Tribolium castaneum: one gene and its partner. The protein of the gene in region 2 binds, or shares a complex with, the protein of the main gene of each other region. Links are inferred from orthologs where the notes say so. Each region holds a gene or a part of one and is shown on either strand. Other genes may lie near its edges.

The links. The genes of interacting proteins can lie anywhere in the genome.
Region 1: eIF3c (region 2) and eIF3l share a complex: the UniProt entries of both Drosophila melanogaster proteins name them as parts of the eukaryotic translation initiation factor 3 (eIF-3) complex. The link is inferred for Tribolium castaneum from reciprocal best matches to the Drosophila melanogaster genes eIF3c and eIF3l.

Annotation. Positions count from the first base shown.
Region 1 is NC_087394.1:32,526,600-32,530,672, forward strand, and holds the start of eIF3l (eukaryotic translation initiation factor 3 subunit L), read right to left. Parts: upstream 2,801-4,073; 5' UTR 2,717-2,800; coding exon 2,678-2,716; intron 2,541-2,677; coding exon of another isoform or gene 2,513-2,540; exon of another isoform or gene 2,458-2,512; coding exon 2,194-2,457; intron 2,067-2,193; coding exon of another isoform or gene 1,937-2,066; exon of another isoform or gene 1,682-1,936; intron 1-1,681. Other genes in the region: iPLA2-VIA (85/88 kDa calcium-independent phospholipase A2), read left to right, coding at 1,937-2,066, 3,159-3,363, 3,410-3,500, 3,550-3,852. UniProt on the Drosophila melanogaster protein: Component of the eukaryotic translation initiation factor 3 (eIF-3) complex, which is involved in protein synthesis of a specialized repertoire of mRNAs and, together with other initiation factors, stimulates binding of mRNA and methionyl-tRNAi to the 40S ribosome.
Region 2 is NC_087401.1:16,334,285-16,338,550, forward strand, and holds the start of eIF3c (eukaryotic translation initiation factor 3 subunit C), read right to left. Parts: upstream 2,801-4,266; 5' UTR 2,669-2,800; intron 2,422-2,668; exon of another isoform or gene 2,419-2,421; 5' UTR 2,414-2,418; coding exon 2,324-2,413; intron 2,274-2,323; coding exon 1,509-2,273; intron 1-1,508. Other genes in the region: beag (protein Red), read right to left, coding at 3,151-3,890. UniProt on the Drosophila melanogaster protein: Component of the eukaryotic translation initiation factor 3 (eIF-3) complex, which is involved in protein synthesis of a specialized repertoire of mRNAs and, together with other initiation factors, stimulates binding of mRNA and methionyl-tRNAi to the 40S ribosome.

The DNA.
Region 1 (4,073 bases), on a different chromosome or scaffold from region 2:
TATTTTGGTTAAAGTTTTCATGTTATAATAAAATTGTTACGTAAGATAAATTTTTGTGTCCCGTCCGTAATCTCACTACTTTTTATATACAGGGTGCTCAAAAACTGGCGCACCAACTCAGTGGTACGTTATTGAGAAGCAAGTGCAGATTACGGGAAAAATGTTGAATAAATTTCTAAAGTTATATTTTAAAAAATCTGGAGCTACAAACTTATTGTGTTAACTTCTTTAGTTTTCATTATTTTTTTATATTTCTATGTTTCATACCAGGTTATCGTTCCGTAACAATACAATGAATAATTATTTTAAAATTTACTATCAGATTTTAGCAGTTTTTTTAATTAAAAAAAATTAAAACTCATCCAAAAAATCACAATGTGTAGATGTGCCAACACTGGGAATTATTTCCTAGGAAACCGTTTCAAAAATAATTTATTTTTATTGTTGCTCAAATTCTATTGCAATCATGACTGTTAGACAACGTTGCCACATATCATTTACCTAAAATTAGTTATTTATCAATAACAGTAATACAAAGATTTTTTTTACTATTTTTACCTTTATATGTAACCAGTTCTCTACCACACACCACTGAGTTGGTGCGCCAGTTTTTGAGCACGCTGTATTTGGTATACACTCCCTCAGTATTACCTGAATCCGTAAAAAAATCATTCATAATATTTCTATTATGAGTAAATATTTTTGTTCTTTCGAAAATATTCACAGATTTTTATACTTATTTTAAACTCAATTTTTATTAGGCGAATACGCGTCCAGTCGGTAATCAATTACTTATAACGATTTTCATTTCAATTAATTTCATCACTTTAAATATTACTATCTTTTTGAAAAAGATAGGCCATTTGAAAATAGAAGTTGACAGAAATATGATTAGTAGATTGTGGAGGTAGTTCCTGGTTAATTTAGTTCATTACATGTTTTTTTTTTTGTTAACTAAATGACTGATTAACGATTTTACTTATTTATGCAACAAAATTCTGTACCTAGGTTTAATTTAAACATTGTTTTTAGGAAAATGCTTGAGGTACCGTCTATTTATTACGATTTATCACTGATTTTCTTATATTTTTAAAAGCATATTTTATTTTTCAAAAGAGAGACGAACAGTTGAATAGTTTTCCCGTTGAGATCTCAATTTATTTATCTTATCATGAGTTTTTAAGGACAACAAATAATCTACTTTGAAGATTCTCACGATTTTTTTGGGCCTAATTAAGACTTTGTATTCAAATTTTCGTTGGTAAATACTCAAAGTTAATTCTTTAGTAAATTGTGAAGACAGTTCTGTTAATTCAGTTGATTATAACATAATTTTTTTTGTTTATGCAATTTACTTGGTTAAGCGTTTTACTTATTTATAGAACAAAAATTCGTTTAATAAGCAAATTTTATGATTTATTTCAAGAAGTCTCAAGCCTCGAGAAAAAATATTATTGGAAATGTATTTGTCTATTATTGACTTTGGTATACTCCTAATTCAAAAAAATGTAGGAAAAAGCTGTTTTATTTATTTTGAAATCGATTACCTTTAAATGAAATGAAATTTAGAATTTCGTCGAAACTGTATAGTATTAGAAAAGATATGACCTTGTAAGCACCTTATTCAAAGTTTATTTTTTGTCGTTAAATCTATTTTTATTTTATTTATTTATTTTTATTTATTTTAATATTATTCATCGCATTATTAAAGTCCAAAACCAAAAGTCGTATTTATTATTATTTTAAACCAATTTTTTTCGCCCATGCTGCGTAAATAAATATTTAAGCAAAAACTTTACAATCAATAGACATCAAAGAATCATAGATATTGAGCGATTTCTTTGTAATTAGGTCGCTTCTGACGTGTCCTTTTGCTAAAGACATAATAAAACCCATTTATGTTCATTTTTCCCTGCTACTGCTTCCAACAGTCGCAATGGAGCATTACAAAAGGCAACTCCTGAGCAAAAAAGAAGAGCTCAAAGAGAAAATCTCTGAAGAACTCAAAGACAAAAGTGAACACGTTAGGGAGAAAATCAAGGACGTCCAAGACATTGGCACAGAAGGTAAAATAATTGATCACGTAAAGGAAAAAATTAAGGATGTCCAGGAGAGTGAAACTGGGGGTAAAATACTAGACCAAGTGAAAGACAAAATCGAGGCGGAAGGTAAAATAGTCATGGATTTACTCACGGGATCACTGTCGACTAGCGCTGACACTTCTGACTCTTCTGGCCAGGGGCGTTTCTCGAAATAATCTTCGGTTAGTTTTGGCCACGAAGTTTCATACAAAGTTTGCAACTCAAAGATTAAACCCTCATTCACGCAATTGCGGAAATAGATTAGGAAGTTTTTGACTATTTCCGGCATCTTTAGGTGCTGTTTATTGTACTCGTTGTCCAAGTTGGGGTCTCCTGTGTGAGCCCCATACTCATCATAGCTGTTGTATTCATAACCCTGAAATAAATGAAAATCAGTGTCCAATTTATTGTCAATTTTGCTGCCACGAATTATGGGAATGGTGCATGCTAAACATGTAGGTCGGTATTATTTCCACACTTTTACAAATAGGCTTGAGACACATGGTTCAATTTGCAAAGCTTTTACTAGAGTTTTATAGAACCCAGTGTAGGTTTAAGGATAAATTGTTCAAGTTTTAGGTGTTTGAAGCACTCACTTGCTCATAATCGTCGGAAAACATTTTGAATTTACTCATTATATGCCTACGCCACTATAGCGAGCAAATGGTCTTGCACTTAACCTCGAAGCCAGTTGACGTTTGACAATTACAAATTACAGGTTTCTACTCGAGGTGGTGCAAGAAATTCCATTTTTTTCTCATTTTCAAAAGTATTTCCGCTGAGTAAGTGAGAAAAATGTTTTAAAATAAAACGATCAATAAACATGATGTTAATCTAAATGCAAATTTACTGAGCCGGTGATTTAACCTCATTCCCCAATTGCTCGTTCGAACAAACCTTGAACTATGAAATCACAAATTTCTTAAATAAAACACAATGATCGGTAGTCAATCTCAGTGAGTGATTAGTGTTCGTAACCGTATGAATAGATATTAAGTAATAAAATGTTTGCCCAAGGATTTACAAGTGGTAATCCCCTGCTTTGTGATGGTACAAATATTATTCTTCATTTTGCAGTTTTACGTAGCTTCCTCAGTTCAGAACCCGCCCCAACCAAAGTGATTGACGCCAAATCAGACGCTTTTTCCGACCGAGCGATTCACCTACGGGAAGATGGATTGGTCCTCTACCTCCCAGCTAATACAGTTGACAAGAAAAAAGGGGCCACTTACGAAATTGTGCTCCATCGCCCGTACACGGAAAGCCTACACCAAACCTACAGGTTTGTGCCCCCGAACACGTCAACTGTTAAAAAAATCAATTTTTAGTTTATACCGCTCGCCAAATCTTGACGAAGCTGAAGTGAAATTTTGTGTCTTGAAGGATAAGTTACCCACGTTTGTTGAGATTTCGAAAGAAGTAATTTGCTGTAGTTGTTAAAAGACGATTATTTGGAATTTTATTTCAGATGTATAATGTGCAAGGTTTGCAAAAGATTTGTGACGTTCTTGCGGAACACCCCTCTTGGAACTTGGCCCATTTGGCGGCGTATTTTAGTCTCTATGATTCTTTTAAAGACTCTAAGATTAACAATTATTTGAATAGTACTGATGATGAAACTGGGATCTCGCCACTACAAGTTGCTATTACCACGAAGAATTTGAAGACGGTGCAAGTTTTGGTTGCTGCGAATGCGTCTTTGGAACATCTCGATTACAACTCTGATTCGGTGTTCCATTACGCCGCTAGCACCACCAAAGATATCATTGCCGTAAGTATTGAATTGTGCAAAATTAGATACGGAAAAGTTGTACATAAGGAATTCTAAAGATTTTTTTCTGACGATTTTAAATACCTTTTTTTAGTTTAACATTTGTAAAGGCCTTGGTCATTTCCATTGAGCATTGTTTCGTTTGTGTTATGTGGAAAATATCAAATATTACACTAGAGTATAGAAAAATTCCATTGAACTAGTAAATAATAAAAAACGAG
Region 2 (4,266 bases):
AATAATATCTTTTCAAATTTTTAATATGTTAGAGAAGAAGGTCTTCTGAAGCTGTTTTACAAAAAAGAAGTTCATTGCTCGATGTTATCCAATCAAGACAGCGGAATTTTTAACTTTGAGTTTTATTTGAATTTTTCAAGAATGGTTATTTTTGACAGACTCTCACAAGAAAACCAAAAATAATATCTTTCCAAATATTTAATATGTTATAGAGGAAGATCTTCTGAAGCTGTTTTATAAAAAAGAAGTTCATTGCTCGATGTTATCCAATCAAGACAGCGGAATTTTTAACTTGGTGTTTTATTTGAATTTTTCAAGAATGGTTATTTTTGACAGACTCTAACAAGAAAACCAAAAATAATATCTTTCCAAATTTTTTATATGTTATAGAAGAAGGTCTTCTGAAGCTGTTTTATAAAAAAGAAGTTCACTGCTCTATGTTATCCAATCAACACAGCGGAATTTTTAACTTTGTGTTTTATTAGAATTTTTCAAGAATGGTTATTTTTGGCAGACTCTAACAAGAAAACCAAAAATAATATCTTTCCAGATTTTTAATATGTTATAGAAAAAGGTCTTCTGAAGTTGTTTAATAAAAAAGATGTTCATTGCTCTATGTTATCCAATCAAGACAGCGGAATTTTTAACTTGGTGTTTTATTTGAATTTTTCAAGAATGGTTATTTTTGGAAGACTCTCACAAGAAAACCAAAAATAATATCTTTCCATATTTTTAATATGTTATAGAAGAAGGTCTTCTGAAGTTGTTTTATAAAAAAGAAGTTCATTGCTTTATGTTATCCAATCAAGACAGCGGGATTTTTAACTTTGTGTTTTATTTGAATTTTTCAAGAATGGTTATTTTTGGAAGACTCTCACAAGAAAACTAAAAATAATATCTTTCCAAATTTTTAATATGTTATAAAAGAAGGTTTTCTGAAACTGTTTTATAAAAAAGTTTTATAAAAAAGAAGTTCATTGTTCATAATATCTTTCCAGATTTTTAATATGTTATAGAAAAAGGTCTTCTGAAGTTGTTTTATAAAAAAGAAGTTCATTGCTTTATGTTATCCAATCAAGACAGCGGGATTTTTAACTTTGTGTTTTATTTGATTTTTTCAAGAATGTTTATTTTCGACAGACTCTAACAAGAAAACCAAAAATAATATCTTTCCAGATTTTTAATATGTTATAGAGGAAGGTCTTCTGAAGCTGTTTTATAAAAAAGAAGTTCATTGCTCTGTGTTATCCAATCAAGACAGCGGAATTTTTTACTTTGTTTTATTGATTTTTTCAAGAATGTTTATTTTTGACAGACTCTAACAAGAAAATCATAAATAATATCTTTCCAAATTTTTAATATGTCATAGAAGAAGGTCTTATTAAGCTTTTTTATAAAAAAAAAGTTCATTGTACTGTGTTATCTAATCAAGACAGCCGAATAACAAAAGAAAAGAGGTCATTCCTCATTTTTTTTAATAGAAAAACATTTAAAGTACTGATACTTACGCTCGGAATTGCGATTCCCCCCTTCACAAACTCCCACTCCCCTTCCCCATCCTCCTCATCCTCCTTCTTCACCTTCCGCCTCTCCTTCTCCTTACGTTCCTTCCTCCTTTCCTCCTTCCTCCGATCGCGTTCTTCATCATCTTCATGCGCCGGCCCAGTTTTCTTCAAAAACCGCTCCCTCATAGTCCCTTTCCCTTCATCTTCATCAAAACTATCCGAACTCGAGTCACTATCACTAGGCCAATCGTCCGAATCAGACGACCCTTCATCATCAACAATCTGTTTGGAAATTTTAGCCACAGCTTTGGCCGGCGCTTCAGTTTGAGTGTCTGGCTCAGGCTCGTGTTTCTCTTCCTCTTCTTCATCGTCCGGCTGGTCGGGGTTTTCCCTAAACTTGGCAATATCCTCCTCGAAATCTTTGATGTACTTGCGCAACTTCTGGCGCATTGAAGCCAAAGACTTGCTGTTGTTTTTGCTCATGTTTTTGCGTCCGTCGCGATCTTCCCACATTTCGTTGATGAAATCTTCCATTTCGACCAAACAACGGGTGAAGAAACGGGGCGTTTGCCCCGATTCTTCTTTCGCGATCACTGGGAGCGCTTTAACGTAGGCCTTCTGAAGGTCTTCAAAACTGGTCAACATGCTGCTCATGTCTTTGATTTTTTTGTAATTGCGGATTTGTTTGATAATGTTAGTGAGTTCCTCGTAACGCTTCTCTTTGGCGGAGCGAACCACACGTTTGACCTCCTCTTCATCGTCGCTAAACTAGAAGGGGGCCATTAAAAAAATGTTAAGCTACATGGGGGCTCACTTACGGTGAAAACGGGCGCTGGCGCGCGCTGAATTGGCTCTTCCTCGGAGGAGCTGTCGGAGTCTGAGTCCGAACCGGCGAAAAAACGACTCATTTTTTTACCTACAAAGTGACATAACCTCAAAAAAATTACGTGAAATAACGCAATAACTAGGCGTTAAATTGGCGTTAGGTAACGGTTTTTCGCTTCTTTGGGCCAAATGAAGACCGAAAACTTAATTTAAGACTACTTTAAAGCTAGTTACTGGGGCCCATGTGGTTCATGTTTGGAGACGGAACTCCCCAAAATTATAGTTAGAAATGTCGGAACCACAATTTTAAGGTAAAATACACGTGAAAGAGGCAAAACTTACGTGTTTAAAGCCTTTTTTTCACTTAACAGATTTTCCGACACGATTGTAACCACAAAATGGCCAAAAACTTGTGCCAACTGTCAAAATCGGGACTTTTTTGTCTTGTGATTGGTAGTGTTATGGTAATATCGTAAAAAAAGGGCAAATTAATTTGTTTTTGGGCACGAAAGGGCCCTTAAGTCGAGAGCCAGGGTTAGGTGGTGGTATTTAGGTTCAAGTTGTGTCAAAAGTAAGGATTCTACGGTTAAGATACCAAAGACGTACAAATGAAACGCTCGCGTTTTCGGTAGTTCCTTTATTGTCACCAGAGAGCGCACTTGTTCCATTAGCAGATAGCAAAGAAAAAATACAGGCACATAGAGCATTAAACTCTCGATAGTAAGACAAAAAAGTAAGGAACAAAGTTGTAGAAAATCAAATTTCCAATATATATTTTTTATTTAAATTAACTTATTTATCTCCTAAATACACAACAAAATTATTTCTTCTTGATAATGCTTTGGATTTTTTGCCACTCCCTGTCCAAATGCGCCTTTTCGTTCTTATCCTTATGCTTCCTGGACCTGCGCCCATCTGCCATTTTAAGGCCGTACTGGAAGGCTGCTTTCGGCAAAGCCTCCTTCTGGTTCATATAATCGGAATACTCCTCAGCTGTGTCAAAGTCCCAGCGTCCAATCGGCCCCTTTTTATTCCCCAAGTCCATCTTAGAATAATCAACCTCATCATCAGAATCATCAATCGCATCGTTCATTTCCTCCAATCCGGGATAACACTCAGCATATCCCTCAGGCTCTTGAGCCAGTTTATTAAGGATTTGTGCCGATTTACTGACTTTGAAAGTCGGTCCGCTATTTTCAAGCGCTTCCTCTTGTTTATCAAAGTACGTGTGTTTGTTATGGTCACGTGACGAGTTTCCATGTTTACCACTTCTTGTGGGTACGTAATCACCAATATCTCCATAGATGGAGTCATCACCGGTTGTACGTTTTGTTGTTTTTTTCGGTTCGGGTTCTTCCGGTTGTTCGTTTTCGCGACTTTCGGGGAGTCCCCGTTTGGTTTTTTTGTTCTTTCGGTTGCCTTGGCGCAAGTAACTTAAAATTTGGGTTAATTTATTTATGACAATGTCGTTGGTTGTGAGGGTTGTGGTGAGTTCAAATGACGGAACGTCGGCGATTGAACGGATTAAAGTTGTTGGAATGTCTGATTCAGCCTCATCGTCTGAAATAAAATTTTAATAGTCATGTTGGTATTAAATTAATAGGAATTTTAACATTAAAATTCATGTAAAAATTTTTAAAAAAGAATCACAAAAACCTTTAAAAAATCCAAAAAGAAGTACAGAAACAATGCTAGAAAATAAATAAGAGCAATTCTAAAAGAAACTAGAGAAGAATTTTTATAAGCGAGAGAGGAGAATATAAAAAAAATTGCGGATTTAAGATCTAAAGAAGTCTTTAGGAGATAATCATAAAAATCTTTAAAAAAATCTAAAAGACAGTAAAAAAACAATGCTAAAAAATGAACAAGAAGAATTCTAAAAGAAACTAGACAAGAATTTTTATAAGCGAGAGAAGAGAATCTAAAGGAAAATTTT